Linked DNA regions of Arabidopsis thaliana. The protein of the gene in region 2 interacts with the protein of the main gene of each other region in a pairwise test. Each region holds a gene or a part of one and is shown on either strand. Other genes may lie near its edges. The genes, in order: AT3G15160, AT1G09660, AT5G54580 and FKBP12.

What was found.
Region 1: the proteins of AT1G09660 (region 2) and AT3G15160 interact in a two-hybrid assay, tested with the Arabidopsis thaliana proteins (one large-scale study listed by BioGRID).
Region 3: the proteins of AT1G09660 (region 2) and AT5G54580 interact in a two-hybrid assay, tested with the Arabidopsis thaliana proteins (one large-scale study listed by BioGRID).
Region 4: the proteins of AT1G09660 (region 2) and FKBP12 interact in a two-hybrid assay, tested with the Arabidopsis thaliana proteins (one large-scale study listed by BioGRID).

Annotation. Positions count from the first base shown.
Region 1 is NC_003074.8:5,102,414-5,109,442, forward strand, and holds AT3G15160 (AP-5 complex subunit zeta-1), read left to right. Parts: upstream 1-1,953; 5' UTR 1,954-2,168; coding exon 2,169-2,270; intron 2,271-2,311; exon of another isoform or gene 2,312-2,362; coding exon 2,363-2,509; intron 2,510-2,604; coding exon 2,605-2,696; intron 2,697-2,814; coding exon 2,815-2,911; intron 2,912-3,203; coding exon 3,204-3,247; intron 3,248-3,320; coding exon 3,321-3,409; intron 3,410-3,648; coding exon 3,649-3,746; intron 3,747-3,825; coding exon 3,826-3,972; intron 3,973-4,141; coding exon 4,142-4,289; intron 4,290-4,388; coding exon 4,389-4,465; intron 4,466-4,685; coding exon 4,686-4,757; intron 4,758-4,920; coding exon 4,921-4,968; intron 4,969-5,033; coding exon 5,034-5,161; intron 5,162-5,265; coding exon 5,266-5,410; intron 5,411-5,508; coding exon 5,509-5,713; intron 5,714-5,816; coding exon 5,817-5,866; 3' UTR 5,867-6,096; downstream 6,097-7,029. Other genes in the region: HPY2 (RING/U-box superfamily protein), read right to left, coding at 33-115, 381-520, 610-720, 815-925, 1,286-1,357, 1,580-1,669.
Region 2 is NC_003070.9:3,126,776-3,133,000, forward strand, and holds AT1G09660 (RNA-binding KH domain-containing protein), read right to left. Parts: upstream 4,320-6,225; 5' UTR 4,099-4,319; exon of another isoform or gene 4,025-4,098; 5' UTR 4,017-4,024; coding exon 3,886-4,016; intron 3,411-3,885; coding exon 3,325-3,410; intron 2,654-3,324; coding exon 2,529-2,653; intron 2,407-2,528; coding exon 2,269-2,406; intron 2,193-2,268; coding exon 2,076-2,192; intron 1,628-2,075; coding exon 1,484-1,627; coding exon of another isoform or gene 1,430-1,483; exon of another isoform or gene 1,413-1,429; coding exon 1,257-1,412; 3' UTR 987-1,256; downstream 1-986. Other genes in the region: AT1G09650 (F-box and associated interaction domains-containing protein), read left to right, coding at 1-351.
Region 3 is NC_003076.8:22,169,075-22,174,002, forward strand, and holds AT5G54580 (RNA-binding (RRM/RBD/RNP motifs) family protein), read left to right. Parts: upstream 1-2,091; 5' UTR 2,092-2,257; coding exon 2,258-2,441; intron 2,442-3,083; coding exon 3,084-3,152; intron 3,153-3,254; coding exon 3,255-3,361; intron 3,362-3,471; coding exon 3,472-3,582; 3' UTR 3,583-3,945; downstream 3,946-4,928. Other genes in the region: BGLU41 (beta glucosidase 41), read right to left, coding at 1-144, 230-389, 471-546, 718-776, 850-919, 1,015-1,161. UniProt on the Arabidopsis thaliana protein: Involved in C-to-U editing of mitochondrial RNA. Functions as minor mitochondrial editing factor. Controls 6 percent of the mitochondrial editing sites.
Region 4 is NC_003076.8:25,734,003-25,738,685, forward strand, and holds FKBP12 (FK506-binding protein 12), read right to left. Parts: upstream 2,144-4,683; 5' UTR 1,989-2,143; coding exon 1,901-1,988; intron 1,502-1,900; coding exon 1,468-1,501; intron 1,287-1,467; coding exon 1,225-1,286; intron 1,112-1,224; coding exon 1,059-1,111; intron 910-1,058; coding exon 808-909; 3' UTR 588-807; downstream 1-587. Other genes in the region: EIP9 (Chaperone DnaJ-domain superfamily protein), read right to left, coding at 3,206-4,600. UniProt on the Arabidopsis thaliana protein: PPIases accelerate the folding of proteins. It catalyzes the cis-trans isomerization of proline imidic peptide bonds in oligopeptides. Mediates rapamycin inactivation of TOR protein kinase activity.

The DNA.
Region 1 (7,029 bases), on a different chromosome or scaffold from region 2:
CTAAAGATGTTTTTGAGCAAGAACTATTTTACCTGCTACAGGACAATTCGCATTTGGATTGTTGACTATGTAATGCAGGATTACAGATTTTTCATAGACGTGCCTGCAATCCATACTGCAACCATAAAAAGGATCAGAGAGACATGGTATCAGTTCACCGCACAATTGTATATTATTATTTGATTAGTTCTACTGCTACACGAAAGATGAAATCATATTCAAGCTTTATGGTCATGTATAGAAAGAAGTCAGTATCGACTGAATATGGCTTTTGAGGATCATCCTACATAGACATCAGGCATGGGAGAGGACAAGCAAATCGTCCGAACAAAACAAGACATCCAAGTTAAGGGAAAAAAGACAAGAAACATCCATTGTACCTGCGAACTGGATCTGCTAATTCAGTGACAGGCTTCCCGCTCAAGGGACATGTCATGTTTAGAAGAGGGCACTGAGTACTGGTCATAACAATGTCCTCATCATCGTCACCAGGCATTGGTTCACCTGCATGATGAACATTCTGCAGCAAAACATTGACAATAACTTAAAAAGGAAATCGGACTATAGACCTATTAGATACAAGCCAAGAACTTTAAGTTAAAAACATACCCAAACTGCTTCCCTGAACTGGCGCATCAAATGATCATTTTGTGGCACTGAGGAAGGTGTAGCCTTGAGCTTTGTGAATTCATCATCAAGCAACTTTTTAAAGTCCGTTAACTGCAGTCATTAGAGTAAAAATCAATTTGCTACATCTAAAAGTATGCAACCGAATAAGAAATTAGATAACACATGAAAGAGGGAAAGTGAGTACTTGTTCCACGGGTTGGTACCGATTTGCAACGGATTGAATTGCTGTCGAACGGTGATTACAATCACTATGCAAATCCAATAACTCAGCCACAGAATTTTCAAGGTCCTTAACCTGTGGAACCCAAAATATAAAAATGAAGAGCATATATAAAGAGCATTTAAGAAAAACAAAGACAGACATCAAGGAAAGAGTGTTGGCAAGAGCAGACAATAATACAATGTCAGAATGAAAGAGATACGTGATAACAAGTTTTACAGCAATGCAATTAACCAAGAATCAATCACATTAGAAGAAAGTCTAGGCAGTTCCCACAAGTTTAAGATAAGGTCACTTATGATTAGCCAATACAAAAACTCAAGGAGATGAATGAAACTACTCTACATTGTAGCAAAAAAAAAAAATGTAAAACGGCTACAAGTGCGTTTATCCCTGAAAACGCTTCCTCTCATATCAGACAAAATAATAACCAACCTTGTCCGTTTGATTTTCTTTCTCCAATTGAACTGCAATGTTCTTCATCATTGCCACAGCTTTGCGGATATCCTGCAAATAAAAGTAAAAACAGATACGAGATAAAGCAGATTCTAGGCTATAAATTTTGCCCAAATTAGAAATCCCTTGTTCACTTCTAACTAGTCAAACCCATTATAAGCCGAAGCTCCTATCTGTTAACATCTCGGAGGAAAGATTTCAGGAACTTCTCAGAAACCTATATTTACATCAAAAAAAAAAAAGAGTGAATTTGGTTTGAACGAAAATACTCACAGCAAGCGTGGAACTGTTATCGGAGACAAGAACCAAAGAAGCGTTCTGAATCCTTCCGGCAACTCCGTCAGACGAGGACGCCGACGCCATATCTATCGCTCCTTCGCTCCAATTTTCTCTTCCGAGGTTTGTTTTGGAGGGAGAAATCAGAAGACGGAAAGAGTGAGAGAGCCTGCGATATACGGAGGTTTGCTGAATAAAATGCGTGCCGTCTTATGCTACTATAAGCGACACGTAGTTAATTAATCCTATTAGAAAACGTGAAGAAGACAAGTCGTACCGGCCGAACGAAGTCGTACTGGCCAAACGATGTCGTATCGCTGCAACAAGCTATAAAAAGGCCGCAGCCAATCCATAGCCCGTCTAGGGGGTTTGCTTGATAAACTGTGTGCCGTCTTATGCTACTATAAACGACATGTGGACAAGAAGAGATGGCATGTAGTTTAAGGATATAGATCTTTGAATAAACGACGTCGTCTTCTTTCCAATCCTCTTTCTCCGGGACTCTGGAGTCGCCGAAGCTGAAACTTCTTCATCCATCATCATATCATATGAATTTTTTCTAGTGATCTTCTTTTTGATTGAGAACATGAGTGATCAAGAAGGAGACTGGGATTTTTACCTCAGAATCCTAAGCAACAGCGCGCGGGATTCTACGGATCCTGCTTCTGATCCATCTATACTACAATCAGTACGCATCTTTTGTCCATTTATTGAGAATTGGCTTGAGACTGGTATTAAGTGATACATTGCTTTCGTTTTGTTTGAATGTATATGGATTAGGTGAAGAAGCTGCATGGGTTCTGTAAAATGGAGAAATCAGATGATCTTGTGGCTAGAATTTATCCACAATTCAATAAAGTCTTCCATCGTTCGGTTGCTTCACTATCTCAGTCCGAGTCAGGGGCGTCCAAAGGCCTTCTCTTGCTAGTACATTATTCTCCCTGAAGAATTTCAGATGAAAGTTTGTTTTTTTACGTTTTGGGTTCTAGTGTGTATTAAGGATTCTGTGTTTGTGTGTTTAGGCCATTCTTCAGTTTTTTCTTGATTTTGGGGATATGGTTCTGCACGATTCTGACCCAAGTTTGAGGACATTCTTCCGCTCATGTCTTAGCCGGTATGGACTACCTTTTATGTCTTGACTGGGTCTTGTTGTGGCTCTGTGCTCTGAGATGTGTGCTACTATGCGTTTATGTAGATAAATTTTGCTGATATGATCATGATTTTCTTTGTAGTGAGTTCTCAGATGCCGCTGTGGCAGAGGCAACTTGTGAATTCCTTGTTGTGAACCAAAGAAAGCTCTTAGCATCTTTCCCAAACTTACTCCCTCAGGTATTAACTGGAATGACTAGCCATATAAATCCTTAAACTTTCTTTTAGCTTTCAGTCTCAAGAAGATTACTCTCTTAATTAGTAAAGTGCCTCTATTTATTGTGTTATTACTGTGTGCATCAACATATGTAATAGAACTGTATCTTTCTGTCCTTATAGCTTTATGCAATCTAGCTGTTCCTTCTGCTTTCATCTTTCTTAATTTGTGTCCATTTACATTTCCACCGCTTGAACAATTAAGCCATAACAGATATATTATATCTCTATCTAATTCAAGAAATTGTATTTGCAGTTTTTCCCGTTGTTGCTTAAGCTCATTGCCTGGAATTGGGAGAAGTAAGCTGAAAATATGCACAAGTGATTTGAACAATTATCTCAAGGAAATAAATTTTCTTTGTTCTAATTTCAGGTTGGAGAAGTCCTTCCTGAAGATATTTCCAGGACTGATATCACCTGGGTCATTTCTTCCTCTGTTTCCATCCATTGTAGACTTGCCAAGTGAGTCCGCTTGTCTAAAAAATGCTACTCGACTTCATATATTTGTTTGTACTCTAATTTGGAGACCACTTGGATGACTCCAACTGTACTAAGATGTATTTGTAAGCTGACTGGTTTCCATTGTTTTGAGCTTGTTTGGTATTTCTCCATTGATGCTTGGACTTTATTCTCTCAGCCTGATTGAGTTTACGAGTGTACTGTGTACTAATTATGTATCTTCTTGTTAATATTTTTGCTAGTATTGGTCGTGGCATTAGAAAAGGTGGAAAGGAGCTCGGGGTCGGGGTCAAGGGTTGGAGGTAGCATTGCTTCAATTCAGAAGAGTGCAGCTCCGGAGGTCTTATATCTCATAAAAACATAAACCATATGACAGTTCTTAGATAGTCAATGAATGACAAGGATACCTGTGAATGCAGATGCTTCTTGCCCTTATGGATGAAGCATATACTGGTTCAACCATCGGGGATGGAGGGGATGACTCTGAATCTGAAGATAACAATACAATAGATGTAGCTGATCCTCTGTTTCTGGAGCTTCTGAAGGACGAAAATGATGGTCTAGCGGTATGCATCCTTCCTCTGGCTTTGCTTTATTCCAAAAACTCAACAGAAACAGTTTTATATAATAATTGTCTATTAGTAAAAATTTAGGGCCTATGTGAAAGTTGGTAGTTTTTTAAACTGTCTGATATATTAGACAAACTGAAAGTATTTTGTCAAATTTGTGCTGCAGGAAAGACACCGCGCTTCTCCTACATTGAATGCAGCGCTGCAGGCTGCTGCAAGTGGTCCTCGGTCAGAGAGGATGAAGCAGACTCTTAAGATTGCTCCCCGACTTCTTGATGTCTACTTTAGTGTTACATTGCGAGATGCAAATGACTGTAAGATAATTTACAGCCTTCCTAGTTTGTTTTAGTTGCTAAAGGAATATAAGTCAATTTCCAACTTAGTTAGGCCGTTGACAACTTTATCTTTTGCAGCTCTGATCTGTGCTTTAATCCCTCTACTCATGACAAGAAACTCTACAATGTTTCCGGATAAGATTTTTTCTCATGAGGTACACGCATCTTCTGTATTGTTTTTCTGAAGACTTTCCTTAGAAAATCATTAGAACAGGCTAATTGACAATGTTTATTGATTTCTCTCCTCTAGATATGAGTGTAGCGTCCATTAATATTTCTTCAGAAATGCCAATGCTATTTTGACGTTTTAGTGTATAGACCTGTATCACTGCCATATTGGACGTTATCTTACAGAGATATTGTTTGCGTACACAGATCCGTAGGAGGCTACTGGAATTTGTACTAGCTGCATTTCAGAGGTCTCCAAATTTCATTGCCCTGTTGAAAGTAATGTCTGCCTATTTTATTTTATTTTTTTGTGCGAGTAATAGCTTTAGAATTTAGATAAGAAGATTTCACAGTGCATTATTAGATACATAGTCTTATGATTACCGCTTATTTTCTCGAGTAATTTGCAAGATATGCATTCTCAACTTCTTAAATAATACAGAAGCCTATTATTGACCGACTTGGGGAAGCTTACGATGATGTTGCAAAGGTCAGTTTCTAATATTTAGACGGATGCTTTGTAAGATAATCTCCTCTAAGCATTTTCTTCCGTAGAGAGAGTTAGCCTTACAGCTATGTTGGGCAATTGGAGAGTATGGTGGTGGGGGAGAATCTCACAAGGAAGCTGCTCGAGAGCTTTTTGAAAGTTTAGAGTTGCTTGTATATGAGAATCTCTCATCAAGGTATTACAAACTTTTGTTTGTGTATCATCAATCTGCTTTCTTGGACAGAAAACATAAATGGTAATTACAATGTTTTCCCTATTTGTTTCCAACGACCAAAAAAGCCGCCTAGGTTTGAGGCAAGAATCTGGGAATGGTTCAAGAAGAACAACACAGTCAAGACTTCTGTGTTTTGTAGTGACAGCTATCGCAAAGCTCGCAACATATCACCGAGAATTATTACCAAGAGCCCGCGTCGCCTTGGGAAAGGTACACAGGAAATAATTGAATCTATTAATGCACTTACCAATGATTAGTTGATTACTAAACATCTGGAATCTGAGTTCCACAATTATGTACATGTGTAGGTAGTAAAGTCTCGGATATCTGATGCAAGGGTTTGGAGACGAGCACATGATTACTTAGGACTAATGAACGAACCAGGAATCTGTTGGTCTGTGTTAGGACCTTCACGGGTTTCAGAAAAACGGTTTCCAGGCACAGTTAACTGGAGCGAGGGTGGACAAAAAATGGTTGCACACATTCCATTTCACATTCTTAGTGAACAAGGAGGTTAAGAGACTCTTCTCATCACTCTGTTAAAAGTTAAATTCAACAAGATGATAATGTGGTTGGATTTAGAAAAGATCTAACGTTGTGTCGTTGTTTTTTGCAGGTCCTCCATTCCATGACTTTGCTTTCTCCGATATCATCCCCAAAAACTAATCAAACAAACAAGTCTCTTAAATTGTGTTTTATTGTGAATAGTGAAACTCAAAGGTGTTTGTGTTTGTATACATCGGCATCTCTTTTTTTTCTAGCAGATGTAGTTTTGTAACCTTCTTGACTATGGTTCGTTCAAACTTGGCAAAATTCTTAATCAGACCCGGTTGGATCCGGTTTAAATTTGGAAGAAATTTACAAAAGAAAATTTAGTCCGACCCAATTATGACGAATTTTCTCTCGCCGTATTCTTTTTTTGATCCACTTTTCTAACAAGCTCCGAATGAGAAAATGCCAAAAGAAAAACTGTGGGTGGGTCCGGAACTTAGCCGTAGACTCGAAAAACGACACCGTAGGGTTCAGGGCGGAGGTCGGCGGAGATGATTCTCTCATCCACCACACTACTCTCACTCACACATACGTCACTCGACCTCTGTCGCCACCTGTGTGTAAAAATCTCTTGATACGCGAGTTTTTTTAACTCTCTCTCTTTTCTCTGTATTAATTCTCTCTTGGTTTTTAAAACAACAATCCATAATTATTGATCCTCAGCGTCATTTATGACCTTCTATTTTAATCTTTCTTTCTCCCAACAAAATCAGCAGCTGACATTGATCTTTTATTATTGTTTCAATGAATTTTCTTGAATAAACGTGTGTGTTTTCTCAAAAACAAAAATGAAACTCCTGAGATATTTCTTTCGTCTACTTAATAACATATCGTGTAGGTTTTTAACCAAAAAAAAATCAAAACACATGACGGGTCGGACCATAAATTAAGTTGTTAATTTTTTTGCATCAAAAGTTTTTGACCTTTTTAATAGGAAAAAATAATAATAATAGGTAGAGTTATTTGTGAGACCGTAGACTAGGGGGTGAAAATACAGAAGGAGAGAGGGGAAAAAAATGAAAGATGCATGCAAAATAAAAGAAAAGGATGGGAATATGATTTGATGTAAAGCCTGTGACAACTCTCCCTTTTAAATATTTTTCAACGCGACGTTACCTTATTGCAGACATGACGCGTCTATATCCTATCCGTCCATTTTTTTTCTTCAGATGCTGATGGATGGATGTGATTTCTTCTTATGATTTGATGCATCCATGCACCTCTTTCTTTCTTCATATTTGTTTTTTTCTCTCTAATAAGTTTTGGATTAAATGTAC
Region 2 (6,225 bases):
GATATAGTCATGTGCAACCTCGACAACCGCTTGTGCGTTTCCGAGATGAAGCTGCCCAACCAAGTGATATGGTCATTCAATTCAGGTAACAAGACATGGCACAAAATGTGTTCCATTAATCTGGATATAACTTCTCGTTGGTTTGGTCCTACTCAAGTATGCGCCGTCTTGCCACTAGCACTTTTGGATGGGAAGAAGAAGAAGAAGAAAAAGTTGTTGTTTTATTGTCGTGTACGAAAACGAACAATGGTGGTACATGATGACGAAACCAAATCATATGATGTTGCTTTCGAGGCTGACTCCATCGGTCATCCTGTCTGTTATTTCCCGAGTTTAATATCTATTTCATAAAGCTTCTTTCACCATCCGTTTGTTTGTCCAAGTTTGCAACTCTTAAAGCTGCCTATGATTATGTTTCAGATTCTTGTTTTATGTAAGAAGGGCTTGTTTCAACATGTACCAACAATTTTTGTCGTGCTTTTTTATGCGCTTGTTATGCTTCTAATTTATCTCACACAGTCGGATGATGTCGTTTTTCCTTGCATACTTTCAGTGACCACAATATGCTCTAGAATCTTTAAGGCACCTTATAGGTTTCTCAACGATAGCCCAAACTAGGATCTTGTTGCTATAAACTCCCCGAAAACAAAGTCTTAAATCTATGTATCTATTCAAATTCTGAAGAAATGTTAAAGAAATTGAAACAAGGTAACGAATCTCTCCGAAACCACCAATCAAATAACTCAAACAACTATCTGAAGCTTCCAATGACTTTGTTCTGTAATTCAATTGAAATAATCTCCTTTTACATGGCATCAGAATCAGAGCCATAATCAATAAATAATTGAGAAGGAGATTACATTTTCATAAGCACCATTATTAGTTTATTACACACTGGTCAATGGTGAATCTCTTTGTTGTCTAATAGTTTCCGACATTTGAATCTGAACCTTAAATCTCAAAACAAACTGATAATGAATGGTAGATAGACAAATGGAGAAATTTCAAAACTTAAAATGAAATAAACGTTTGGGGTTTAAAACTTAAATAAAGGTTACAATGATTGAGAAGGAGATTACAATTTCATAAACACCATTATTAGTTTATTACCCACTGGTTAATGGTCATCTCAGCTAACCAACAAAAATAAAGAATAAAGTTAATGACAAAATAAATTAATTCAAGAGTCCAAACGTTAGAACTTAGCAAACTCATGATCCTGCCCACAAGACCCATGCACTAGTGGTTTCTCTTGATCATATCTCTGTCTTAGCACGCTTGCTGTTGAAAGGGGACATGCTGGGGCTCAAACAAGGGCTCAAGCTCGGACTCGGACTCTCCTCCCTTAGTGTACCATTCAAAGCCGCTAACTCCTTCAGCTGTTCCCTCTTGTAGTGATCCATTGACTCGTCCTGTAGAGAGAGAAGAATCAAAACCATGTGAACAAAATAGACATGTTTGGACTTTTGTGATAAGAATGTACCATCGGCTTCAGGAGTGATTCCAGGAAATGCACTGCATGCTCCAATCGAGAGTTTATTATGTCTTCTGGAAGCTCGGCCTCGATCAGTACATGTAGTGGCTCGCAGAGATGCTCGTACCCTGGCTTACCTTTTAATTTTTCCTCCTGCAGGGAAGTAAAGAACTAAATGGATAAGCTTTCACACCGCATGGTAGATTGTCAGAGAATATATAAGAGTCAGAAAAAAATGAATTTCAAAACTTTCTCTATTTACTTCTGATGATGTAAGAACCTAAAACTTTAACAGTTTATTTCTTATACAGGCTGCCAAAATTTACATATCTTCAAATGTAAACAAGAGTAGTAGCTGCTGATGCAGTAAAAAATGTATCATTACTTCAACAATAAGCTTGATATGCTAAAAGACGTAAGCTTATACACAAAAGGAAAACAAATTGCTCCTAAAGGCCGGAAGAAAATTGTGCGTATTCAAAACATGGTTATAAAACTGATTAACAGGTAAAAACATGACATAAAGTGAAGTTTTGAACTGTAAGAATAAAACAGAGACAAAATGGAATCCTTCAGAGAATTAATAAACAAGGAGCCATACCTTGACAGTATCCTTCACAGATCCTCGTCCTCTGATAAACACCCTGCAGTGGGTTGCTAGCTCAACTCTTTTTAGGGAGTTTCCACGTGGCCCAAGAATCCTCCCAACAAAATTATACTGCAACGCTCAATGGATTTAAACTCTAGAACAATCCAATTATAATAACCTATTTGGGTAAAGATTTAAGACATACGCTTGGATATTTATCCACTGGGACATCAAGTCTAATCACTTTTTTCACAATGGGTGGGTTAGGGAGTCCCGGCATCCCAATCCAGCCCACTGGGGAAGGACCGCGAAATGGAGAAGCTCTCTGGAGGTGACAGTTTTCCTGAAGAAAGCAAAAGCAATCAATATCGGTAAAGCCCACTCTTGATTATAAAAATTATTAGTATCACCATTACAATTCAACATGAATCAGTTAATTGACTACAACTATCAGCAGTGGCTTACCTCGGCTTGCATCATCGACCATCCCTCTAAATCAAGCTTTCCATTTGTCGGCTGACCAAGCGATCTAAATGGACTGCCATGCTCATATCTATCAAGATCAGGAAAACTAGAGACCCTCCTGATTTCTGCACAGACGTCAGCAATGTTGGCAGTTAAGCAAACGTATAAAAGAAACTGTAAGAGTTATACATCAGGGGCATCTTCAGTCTCTTATCTTTAATGCCAATAATGAAACAAAAGGCTCGGGTTCTAATAGGTTAGAATGATGAAAACTTCAAACACATCTTTGTCTTTTAAGGTTCACACATCCCTTAAGGGCATGATGGACAACTAAAAGCTAGGTAAACAAGTCTGGAAACAAGCTTCTAATCACCATATGCATATTTACGGACAAATAGGCTTCCTAGTATAAATTAGTTGGTGATCATTTGCTTAACGATCATTATCATTTGCAAACACATAGACTTAATTCATTTTCACATAACATAACTCATCAAGGATGATCATTTAGCAATAAGTTGCAATTAAAAACTGTTTCTAAATGCTAAAAGTAACATAGACTTTGATTGGCTATATATATATTAAGAAGGCCATAACAAAGAGAATAAAAAGTTGCATGTAGATACATTTTTGTTACTCAACTATCCTTACCCAATTTCTGTAAACCTTTAACTGGAAAAAAGCCAGGGTGATGCGCACTAAGGCTTTGTTCACGTGGGAAATTTCTTAAGTTCGTGTGCACACACTCTAAGGAAATACTAAATTCAAAATCACATAGCTTAATAAGATAGCTCACCATGATTAAGCAGTCTGCAGCAATTTGGCATAACTTGCAAAAAGGGACCCAACTTTTGTCTCTCTTGCAATAATTCAGTCAAGTACCTGCACAAGGTTAAGAACAAAAAAAACTTAAGTTTCAGTGGATGTTGCGTGTGAATCGAGTGGGTGACATTGGAATCAGCACTCAGTCACATGTAAACTAAGCTTCTAAAAATACATCAGTACGTTCATTTCTAAAACATTGATAAAATATAGCTATCTTGTTAAAATCCTTAAGAGTACATTGTATAGAATCCAATAATAAGTGAGCTAATTGTGAAAAAGGCGACATGTTGAGGTGAGAGAGTATGATCGAGAATTTGGATCTGTGTAAGCAGTTCATGAAAATACAAACTTGACAGAATCATTTTTAAACACTGATCCAATCAAAGGCAACAATACCCACCAATCACAAAGAGACACACTTGAAGTTGTGCTAAAGCAACAAGTCCAGAAGAAGAAACGGGTCCACAACAATCAAGCTAACACAGATTCACAAATAGCAAAAAGGTTGAGAAAGAAGAGAGAAAATAGAAACCTTTCACGATCAGAGGGAGGACAAGGGGATCGATTAGGAGAAGCACGGAATCCAGAAAGAGGATACTGGAAGAAACTTCCAGGAGAGATCCTCTCTTCCATGGCCACGAAACCAGCGCCAGATTCCATCATCTTTAACACTGTAAATCCACTTAGAAAGTCAGATTGTGCATAAAGTAGAGATAAAGAAAAACAGAGAAAAACAAGTTGTGACCGGAGATAGTGAAGAGGAGAAGCGGCGGAGGATCTGACGCCGATCTCAAGGATGAGAAAGGTGTCTTGAAGTAGGTGTGGACTGTGTAGAGTGGCCACAGAGGAAGAAGAAGAAGTAGGCAAAGTAGGGAGGGAGTCAAAAGCCCTACTCACGATGAGAGACTCCTCCTCTCTCTCTCATCTCATTTTCGATATTTTCTATTTTTGTGTTTAGTTTTTTATTCTCTAGAGATTCTGTCATCTTCTTCTTAAAAGGTTCTTTGCGTTTTCATTATTATTGGGCTTCAGGTCACTAATAATGGGCCTACCTTCCCTCAGGGACATTGTAGCCTACTTCCAATCCGTGTAAACTAAAAAAATGAAGATGATGGATTCGAGCCCTTCCGAGGCAATATAACTATTCTTTAATGGGCTTAATTTTTTTTGTTTTGCTTTAGACAACAAAACACATTGGGCCGGGCCTGGTCTACCTAGTACCTTTCTTATGCATCTAATTCATTTGATCCTCAACATGCCAAATATTTATTATTTTATTTATCTCTACGAACTCTTGAAAGGTCATCATCATTCACTTGATTGCATTTGCCTATATTTTTAGTGGGAACGTAGTTAGTGATGTCCCCTGAGCGATGATGTCACCTCAGTGATGTAATGGATGATTTATTTTACTTAAAAATTCTAAAAAGTAAAAACAATGGACGAAAACAAGAATTCCGTCTATAGTGAATCAGTTAGAATATCTGAACGGTGATTTCCATGTTCCACTACTTTAATTTATTTTCTATAAATTATAATTACATTTTACACCAAACGCAGTTTACACACATACTGTATATGATAGATGCAGTCACATATACACTAAGGAAGCTAGTTACTCAAGCCGTGATTTATATACAACTTGGAAGCAAAGAAATAAGATGCTGCATAATTCACAACACATTTGCGCCTACTTCTATCTTCAAGATCCTTGATCGTCTTCCTTGTTTGTATCCTAAATCTTAGCTATTGTTCATGTAAATCATAATTTTCATTAATAGGATATTTACCTATTACTTAGCAACAAAAAAAAACGGCCGGGTTAAATGGTGTAGTTGGAAGTTGGCTACTATAAGAAATGGAAAAAATAATAAAACGCAACTTAATGAAGATTCTGCCGTTTTGCCAATGAGAAATAAAGAAGAAACAGCATAAATCTTTGTTCCCCTTTTTAATTCTTTATCCTAGGGTTCCCTTCTTTCTATGCTTTCTGTTTGTTAGCTGTTCTACACATGTATACTTTTAATTTGCAGCCAACATGAAACTTCTCCTTTGTCAGCACTCAGCCTTACGGAACAACATGTAACCCTAAACAAAATTCTACATGACCTAGGGGATTTGAAACATCCCAAGAAATTTCAGTATATTAGGTAAATGGTATTATTCTACTAGAATATATGTAGTATTTACTTTATCAAATGTATACATAAAAAGGTTTTCATTAACAATCACAGCCCAAAAAAAAAAAAAAAAAAAAAAATCCATTTCTTGGGATGTTTCAAATCCCCTAGGTCATGTAGAGTTTTGTTTAGGGGTACATGTTGTTCCGTAAGGCTGAGTGCTGACAAAGGAGAAGTTTCATGTTTGCTGCAAATTAAAAGTATACATGTTGTAGTACAACTACCAAAAAGAAAGACCTAAAACCAAAGAAGAAAACGGATAGAAGTTCGACATTGGGGAAAAATGTGGGTAGTAGCTAGTAGGTGGTGGTGAGAACAACAATGAGGATCCAGAGACAAGAAAAAACCAAGAAAAAAAGAAAAGTGAGGTCTGCTTCTGCTTTCTCTCTCCGCGCACGTGCGCCAAAAACGCTTTTCTACGATCTTGTATTAACTGTTTGGGATTGTGACTTTTCTTCCTCCTCTGTCCAATTTTTGGAATAATCAAATTCTGGGTCCGCCACTGCATTTACGCATGTTAACTCAAGAAAGTTAATGACAAAGTTCCTAACGACGCCTTCCCTCCAGTAATATCGATAAACCTAACATTAACAATGTACCTAAACCCTCCCAAATCCCAATATCATATACTATAAATTAAGCTCTTGCTAAACATCTTAGTAACCATTGTTCCATATTACATTACAAAACTT
Region 3 (4,928 bases), on a different chromosome or scaffold from region 2:
AGAAGTGAGCACCTTCCTGGAGCTTGTATCCCTGTGTCATAGCCTTGGATCGATACCCCATGAGGCTCATTGAAAGTGATCCAGTACTTCACTCTATCTCCAAATGCTTTGAAACAGGTGAATGCATAATGCTCAAAATCATCCCTGCACCATTTATTTAGCTTTTTAATTTCGTAATAATCTCACCATATCAGGATTTCACATTTTTATCAAAATATCATATACTCACACCACTTCTCTGCTTAGCCATCCTTCATATCTGTCTTCTAAGGCTTGTGGGAGATCCCAGTGATACAATGTCACATAAGGTTTGATTCCTTTGGCTAAAAGAGCATCTATTAGGCTGTTATAGTACTTAACTCCATCTGGGTTTACTTCCCCTGTTCCATCTGTTAAAACCAGAGTTTAAATAGACCCGTCGAAACGCACAACATTACTCATCATATCACAGCTGAATGAAATAGACTTACTAGGGAATATTCTTGACCAAGATATAGAGAATCTGTAAGCATCCATTCTCAGATCTTTCATCAGGTCTATGTCATTCTGTGATAGCAACAAAACAAAAGAAAGGCTCTTGCTTCTTAGATTCTCTCATTTGTGTCCTGTTGCGTCTTATCTTAGATTTGTTTGGATGAGGTTGCTCTGTCAAGAAGCAACCCTACTTTTATCTTCAAGCTTAAGTCAACAAATTTGTAATTGTTAGGTAAAACTTACGTGAAACCTATGATATTGATCAACCGTAGTATCCGCATTGCTGAAATCCAGTATCTTTCCTGTTGATCAAGAACGATACCATTGAGTTAACTAAAACCTTCGTGATGTTTTCTGGGTTTGTTTCTTTGATACCTGGTTTCTCCTTCGTGAAAGTGTCCCATATGCTTTCTCCTTTGTTTCCTTCTTTCACAGCTCCTTCGAACTGATTTCTTGCAAGAAAATGTTGCGATTGTCAAAATCTTCGTTCTTTCTTTGTTGGATCAGTTTGGAGAAGATGAAGAAGAAGAAGAATGTCACCTGGTAAGCTGAAGAAGCTGTTCCGAATACAAATCCATCTGGAAAATTTGCTCTGCTGATAGATTCTGAAGAAACGTGATCAAGAGGTACGAAGAAGACGACGAAGAACGGAAACAGAACTAAGACGAGTCTCATTAAAGATTCCATTTTTTGGGTCGCATGAATAGAGAAAGTGAGAGAAAGAGAGAGATAAGGGGATGGAATTTTATGGTGAATGAAAGATTTGGAGGCAAGAAAATGGAGTTTTGGTGTGTGTGTGTTTTTAATTTGTAAAGTTGAAGAAGAAAGAGGAAGAGTGCAAAACAAAAGCTCACGTCTTTTGAAGGCTTTTCTTTGGTTTTGACATTTGTTCTCTCTACTTTTACTGCACACGTTTCTTATACTTGTGCCAAAAACTTTTTAAAGTTGTTTACTCTCTTAAGATAAAAAAAAAGTTTGTTACTGAGTGACACTGATTCACCTAACTACCTATGTCTTTTTTTTAAAGATATTCTTCTTGATAGTCTTGTTATTTGTAACCCCAAATTACATGATAATCAAATTAAATTCATAGATTGAATAATATATTATGTACTTTATTTTGAGATGAGTTAATAAATTAATATATAAATATAATGTGAACTTTTATGTTAGCATCCATATCCATTTATATATGTTATTTTTTGTGTGTTTACACTTATCACAAAAAAAAAGGGGTGTATTGAACTTAGGTAAGATTTTGTGGATTTTAGATTTTGAGAGATTTTAAAAGACGTCTGGTCATTTGGTGGATTTTTAGAAGAATCAAAACAAATTTTAAGTGGCCATTAAAAAAATAAAATGGTCATTTAGTGAAATTTTATGTCAAATTTCATAAAATATTGAAGTATTTTGTGTGATAGTCCAAAAAACAATTTGGTAACCATTTAAAGACTCATAAACGTTTCTACGTGCCAATGAAAAAAAATCGAAAATTGGAGCTGCACATTGGCGAATTCCATTAATTACGAATATCAGAATTGTAAAGTTTCTATCACTAGTCCATCCATTCCGAAATTTTGAAGTAATACAAGGGTATATCCGTCATTTTATGTCAGTATTTTTTTTTTTTAGGTCATCTTCTCACTCTAGTAAATTACTCGTTTTCGTATCAATCGATTTTGTTTGTTCTCTGCTTTTTTGGTTTAGGGTTTTAGCTTTTCAAAGTTAAAACCTTTTTTTCCCGAAGAAGAATCAATACGACTCAAATCAATCAATTGAATCTATGGCGATGGCTATGAGACTTCCAGCGATATCTAGAGCTGTGACGGAAGTAGCTTCAGCTCCGGTTGGTTTGAGACGACTGTTCTGTTCAAATGCTTCAAGGTTCTCTTTTTTGTCTCCACAAGCTGAATCCCAAACACCGGCTCGTCCTCAGGCTGAACCTAGCACCAATCTCTTCGTCTCCGGTAACAAACCCTTTTCATCTCTCAATTCATTTCGAGGGTTTATCGTTGTTAGAGTCTATGTCTGTTTCTATTTGATGCTTTTTAAAGATCCTTCCTTTTTGAATTCAGATTTAGATTATCAGGTTCGTCTAACATCAACTAAGATTGTACTCTATGTGTTTAAGAATTTGATAAGTTCAATTATTCATTTTTGGTTCTGATTTCCAGAAAAATGTCTACTTTCGATTGCTTAACTCTAGGAATGAACTGTAAGAGTTAAAGAGAGTTTCTTTGCACTCAATTACTTGAGAATTCGGTTTTTTCGGTTAAAATTTGGATGCTATGTGTACCGGATCAGTGTCTTGTTTCAAGGGTCTATGTGGGCTGTTTCTAACATCTTCAAGGCTTCTGTTTTTGTAAAGTGCTTCCTAGTATCAATTAGTTTTTGAAATACTGCTCAACATTGGGCTTTGATGCAAGCAATTTTGATTAGGCTATTACTTATTGTTCCTTCATAGCCTCTGTTTCTCACTTTTATCACATGGCCATTGAACATCTCATACATACATCTAAGGAATTTTATGTGTTCGATGCTGTGTCTCAGTTTCGTGAAAGTGTCTTCTTCTCATGTTATCTTTATCTTTGTGTCACTGAATATTTCAGGGCTTAGTAAGCGCACCACTTCTGAAGGACTAAGGACTGCTTTTGCTCAGTTTGGAGAAGTTGCTGATGGTGCGTATCTTATAACGACACTATAAAGTTTATGCGCAGTAAACTAGTCATCGTGAAGAAAACTAACTGTTATGATTCCTTTCTCTTCTATTGGTTTTGTAGCTAAGGTTGTCACAGACAGAGTATCAGGATATTCCAAAGGGTTTGGATTTGTTAGATATGCCACTTTAGAAGATTCTGCCAAAGGCATAGCTGGAATGGACGGGAAGGTACTATTCATTCTAATATCCATTTCTCGATTACCATATCATAATCTATTAAGAGAGATTTACACTGACAATTACCAAACGGCTAATCTCCTCTCTGTGCTTCTCTGCAGTTTCTTGACGGTTGGGTCATATTCGCAGAGTATGCAAGACCGAGAGAGCAATCACAGTCATATCAACCTCAGAACAACATGTCTCGTCCTCCATACTATGGTAACCGCTAGAGAAACAGTTTTCTTCGGTTCTTATGAATCTTTTATATTCATATTTATGCTTCATTCTATCCTCTTCTATGATCGAACTGTGTTGTGCTTCGTCTCGTGTTATTACCTTTAGAAGATTAAAAACTTCAAATTATATTTTGAAGGAATAATCAGAAACTGTCATTTACAAAACCAAAGTATTAAGTGTAATAGTTTTTTAAGAGGAAGAGGATTTTGCTTACATGGTTAACTCGGAAATACTTAAAACGTCATCGTTTTGTTGTTTGTGATTTAATTGATTGGACCGGTATGTAATGAGATTGATCGGGTTCTGAGAAATTCAGATCCGGTTTTAGTGTTGTTGATTTTTGGTCGACTTTAAAATCTTTCAGTATATATGCTTCGAGTTTTGTTTTGCTACGATTTCATTTTGTGAACCAAAATTTTTTAGGCACCACCAATCTAGATGATCATTTTCAAAAACCCAATGGGTCCGTAGCCATTAGCCAATCAATAACTCACAATTTTCGTTTAGATGCAACTACTTAACATTAAAAGTGATGATTATAACAAATGGGAATAAGTCATTGGGCCACAGCATTGAGTTCTCACAATTTCACGTGGAGCTGTCTAGAATCTCTACGAACATTTTTGTATACTACAACATGTGGACCGAACAAAAACAAAAAGAAATATCATCCCAAATACTAATGGCTTACATAAATTTATGCACTAAATGTTATAAAGACAAAAAAGGAAACAAAACATACAAAGAGATACCGTTCATACAATAACATTCCTTCGCTGTCCAATTACGTTTGGTGAGACAATTCCCTCTTTCTCATGCAACCAGATTTGTATTTCACAACTCATCATATTACTCCAAAATCATAACGGTACCCATTTTTGGAGTGTTCTTAGCTTATAATGGTAATAGTGATAGGTTTTGTTGTTTTGATTGTGATCTATAATCCTTAGACGCAATGAAAAGTTAGTTGTAATTACAAATGTCGACCGCAACGTGTACAAATGTTTCTTGTTTCCAAGTTTGTGGAGTGGGCACAAGTCAAACTTAACTGCATAAACTAATCAAATGGTAATGTTTCTAATCGGATAACGTTTCTGATTAAGTTCTTTTCGATGGACGATTCTTGTTATTTCTCATTCGATTCGATCGTGTGGGTTAGGTTTATAGATTCAAATCAATCAATCTTCCATCAATATATTTTATGATGACCCATGACACCTAGCAAGTAGCAACATAACAAACTGATTAATATCATTACTAATATATAAACTATAAACTATAAAGTCGTGGTATTAATGAGAAAATGAGGGCATGAATATTTTTATTGTTTTAAATTAGT
Region 4 (4,683 bases), on a different chromosome or scaffold from region 2:
CATTGTGACGGAAAAGAATAAAAGCTAACCACTCTTTTTAATTGTTTAATTTAAATTGACAATTTAGCATCTATCTAGCTTATACAACGCCAAAATTAGCTCAATACTTTTGTTTTATTTTTAAAAATATTATGTAGACTTTCATTTATGTTAAAAGTTATTATTCATAAAAGGACTTATGTGATTGGGGAATGTGGGTGAAAAGAAAAAGAAAAGTAAAAAGAATGAAAATGAAAATGGAGAAAAGAAAAAGAAAAAAGAAGCATAAGTGATGATTAAAGAATTGCACGGGAATTTTAAGTGCTTAATTACCCGCACGACTTCTCTCGCGTCTCTCTCTTTTTTCTTCCTTTCTTTTGTTAACTTATGTATCTTGTCTGAAAAAGTTTTTAACTTTAGTCTTTTTTCTTCCTTTGATTTGATATTAAGAACAGTAATTTATACTGTGTTTTGAATTAGAAGTGGTCAATTCAAATTTCATTATGGTTGAGACCATTTGCTTTGGGTCTGATATGTCATTAAGATTGAAGTTTTAGTTTGATTCTTTTGTGCTTTTTATTGGCATTTTGATTGAATAAACAAAACCATTTTAATCAAAATAAAAAAACGGGAATAATATCATAATATAGTACAAACATTCCAACTGAAACACGAGACGGGTCTTTTCTTTTATTTAGATAAAAACGTTGTCCAAGAGTTTTAGAAGAGCAATGACATCACAAAGTTTTGTTGCATAAAGATCCCAGAAGCAATAAACATAAAGGGTTGTTTAATAATCTACCCACAGTTTAGGAGCTGGGGAGATCATTACTGCACGCTCAGTACTTCGATTTCAAAGTCGAGAACAGAGTTTGGCTGGATCCCCCATGCCGGAAATCCACCAGCGCCATATGCGTAATCCGATGAGCACTGCAGAAGCAGATAAGATCGCAAGCCAAAGATGTTAAACATATAACGAAACACCCAAACTATCATGAAAGACAAAAGTGCTTCAACAGAGAGCCATAAAAGCATAGATGGCAAAGAGGAACATGATGAGAGAAGCAGAGTATACATACCCGCAAGCGAGCAACCTCTCCAATTTGCATTCCGATAACGCCTTCATCCCATCCTGTAAGCAAAGTTAAACAATCGAATCATATGATGTTCACTCGCCAAAAAAGAGGCAAATAGGTTCAGAGATATGATATGATTAACCATAAAACAGAGTAAGTAAGTTTATACCTTTGATCACAGCACCTTTACCGATTTGGAACGAGAAAGGTTTTTGTCCCTCGTCCTTTGTACTATAATGATATACCAAAGAACAAAACACAGTTAGGCTCAAGGAAATACCAAATTAAATAAGTCTTTTAAGACGAAACATATTGATTTATAAACTGAGTATGCGTAGATGATAAGAACAAGTAAGTGTAATTATCTTTTTATTGATCCTAGAATCAAAGCTTACAATAAAGAATTATTTACCTCCAGAACTTCTGGGATAGATCACCATCTTTCCCTGCCAAAAAAAACACACACACAAGAGAAATAAGATTCTCAAACAAATTCATTTCAATTCCACACAAGAAACTGGATTATAAGATAAACAAGATTCTTTAATTAAACCTACAAATAGAAAATCTAAACAAGAGATCTATTCGTATGAAGTTTCAGATGAGCAGACAAATAATCTCGCAGAACAGCAAAATTACAGATTAATTATGACCTAAGTGTTACTATCACCACCCAGAATAGAACATAAACCCTAATTAAATCTATTTCACATCATAGAAAACAAACAAATAGCGAGTACGACTACCACAACACATCAAATAGCTCTTCAACAAAGCAGATTTGTATAGATCGATTTAGCCTATCATGGAATTTTCAAAGATATAAATATGCAGAGGAAAGTTACCGAATCCGGTGCAATGGACGGTGACGGTTTGGCCCGGAGCGGGTTTGGGACCGTTGCCGGGTCTGATGACTTGCTTCTCCACACCCATCTCTATATCTTCTCTCTGTCTCTCTCACTGTTTCGCGTTCTTTGCAGCTTCGAATCTCGGAGTAGCTTTTGCCTATATATTTTGTTATTTATCAATTATCATGCTGTTTGATCTAAACCCTATCTGGGCCTAACAATAATCCAAAACCCAATTCGATGAAATTTAGGCCCATTATTTATTCTTTCTCAAAGGTGGATAATATAATACTGTACCAGACCGAATTAAGAAGCAGAATCTAGCCCAAAACTATTTTTTACTTCGGATTCATCAAATTCAAGCCCAGACTTGTAGCTATCAAAATTTCCTTCGCATTTTTGAAAGATACATGGTCAAGAAGACAGAGCAATATAGATACAACGAACCTTCTTCATCACAATTACAGAAAAAATGATTATGTAGATATCATGTTTAGAGCCTAAACGGCTAAACAGTTCCATCATTAATGTCTTAAACAAGCTTTTATGAACAGACAATGGAACCTTCACTGCGCAACTGGAGCGTATAAAAGCCAGATAACGTGCACGAATCACCTCTTGGATAGCTTCTGTATCTTCTAGATTCTGCAGAATACTCATTACAGGTAAGTGAGAATACCTAGCTACTATGACTACACAAAAAAAACTCTACATAGCCGTTTAGGTCTTTACCTTAGACCCCAGCAAGAAATTCTTGACAAAAAGCTTACTTGTTTTCCTTACCTTTCAAAGCATCAAGGATGAATGAAGCAAGCAATGTGTGTTGTCACTTTCCCTCTTCGTTTGTCAGTCCAGAACACAACAAGTTATCTAGTGAATGAACAGAAGCAGCAATTACGACATGGAAACCACCTATGTTTTGCAATTTGCTGCTCTATGGCCTTTTGAGTTGGAGGAACATAATTCTTTTGGAACAAAATGAAACCTGAGCAGGATAAGTAACTCACTTTACTTTAGATAAGGCATTTGGCTAGTAAGGTTTTATAGTCTAATAAACCCGAGAAAGATAATCTTAATGCCTTTACTCAGAACTCAGAAGCAGAAGACTATATACCAGAAAGCGACGAAAGCATCCGAATTTTGAGCAAAATAACATCAACAGATTCCAACTACAGGGATTCCAAGGAATCAAAATGCTAGTATTTCCACTACAGTTAAACATCAACAGGAAACATAAAAGCTAAGGCCTACAACAACGAAACACCCGCAACCTAAACAAAGAGAGGAAAAAGCCTTACTTCACTAAGTAGCCTTGATCTTATCATCTCCAACAACAGAAAGTATGGGCAAACTATTCAAGAATTCATCAAGTCCCTCAAAGAACCCAATCCCTTCCATATTATCTACCTCCCTGTTACTTCCGATCCCATTGCCTGCATTTCCCCCACCTGCCACACCAGGCTCTTCCACTTCATTACTAAACTCCACATTCAAATCCAACCTCCCCAGGTTCTTAGCGCCTGTTCCCATTCGTTTTCTAGTAATATAACTCCCTGGTTTAGACATAACCCCAGTTGAAGACCCAACAGCCGCAGCATTTGAAGCAATTGAAACCGCGTGATTGCTAGCACTACTGATACTTTCTACATTTTGGACTTCTTCAACTCCATGTTTCTTGTTACTTCTCACATATGTTTCTTTCCCTTTCCCAACATTCGTCTTCTTATTCACTTGTACCACATCTTGCCAATCACCATCATCACCAGCGTCATCTCCATCCGAAATCGCAACATAAATGTCATCATCGTCATAGTAAATCCTAGGAGGACCCGGTTCCTTTCTCTTCTTTGGTTCACCATCCAACTTTTGCAGAGGACAGGCAAAGAGAGGTGAAATAGGTGACCAACTTGGAGCTTGAAATTCACCGGAAAACCCCAATGGAAACAAAGCCCATGAGCAAAAGTAAACGTCTTCGTCGTCTTTCTTATCCACCGGAGGTTTTGGTATCGTCACAGCTTGAAACGCTCTTCTACATTCTTGACATTTCAAAGTACATTCTTCGTAAGCCTTAGGGTACTCAAAGAGTACAAAGCAGTAAGGGCAAGCGGTCCAGAAGCTCGTCGCCATAGGATCCGCCGAGGTCCCAGCCTGGCTCTGAGACCGCGGTGGCGGATATACGGCGGTGCTACTGCTAGGTTCCCACTGGAAATTTTGATGCGATTGGGTTTGAGGATGGAATCCAGATTGACCGAGTTGACTAAGTTGCAATTCTCGGTCGTAGAATGATTTCTTGAACGGATCAGAGAGAACGAACCAAGCATCGGAGACGATTTTAAGAGCTCGATCGGCGAATGGGAGACGATTAACGGAAGGATTGAGGAGAAGAGCGAGTCTACGGTACTGAGTCGCGACGTGTTCAGGGTTTTGAGCTAAACGACCGAGTCGGAGAACGGCGTACCAGTCTGGCAAGTTGGAATCACCTAAACGAGTCTCTCCGGCGAGAAGAATGTCGCAGATTGCGAGGATGTAGTCTGCAGCTTCTGCTCGGGTCGGGTCAGCTTCGCATGCGCGGATCGCAAATGTCTTTGCTCCTTGAAGATCACTAGACGCTAGAAGCTTCTCCGATGTTACAAGCCACTGATCCGCCTCCACTCTGTTACCACCACCACCGCCAACTCCGCCGCGTCCGCCTACCATATCCCCTATTTCTTTTTGTTCCCTTTCGTTTTTCCTCTCTCCCCGTTGAATTTATTTATTATTTTATCGGTAAAGAGTAAATA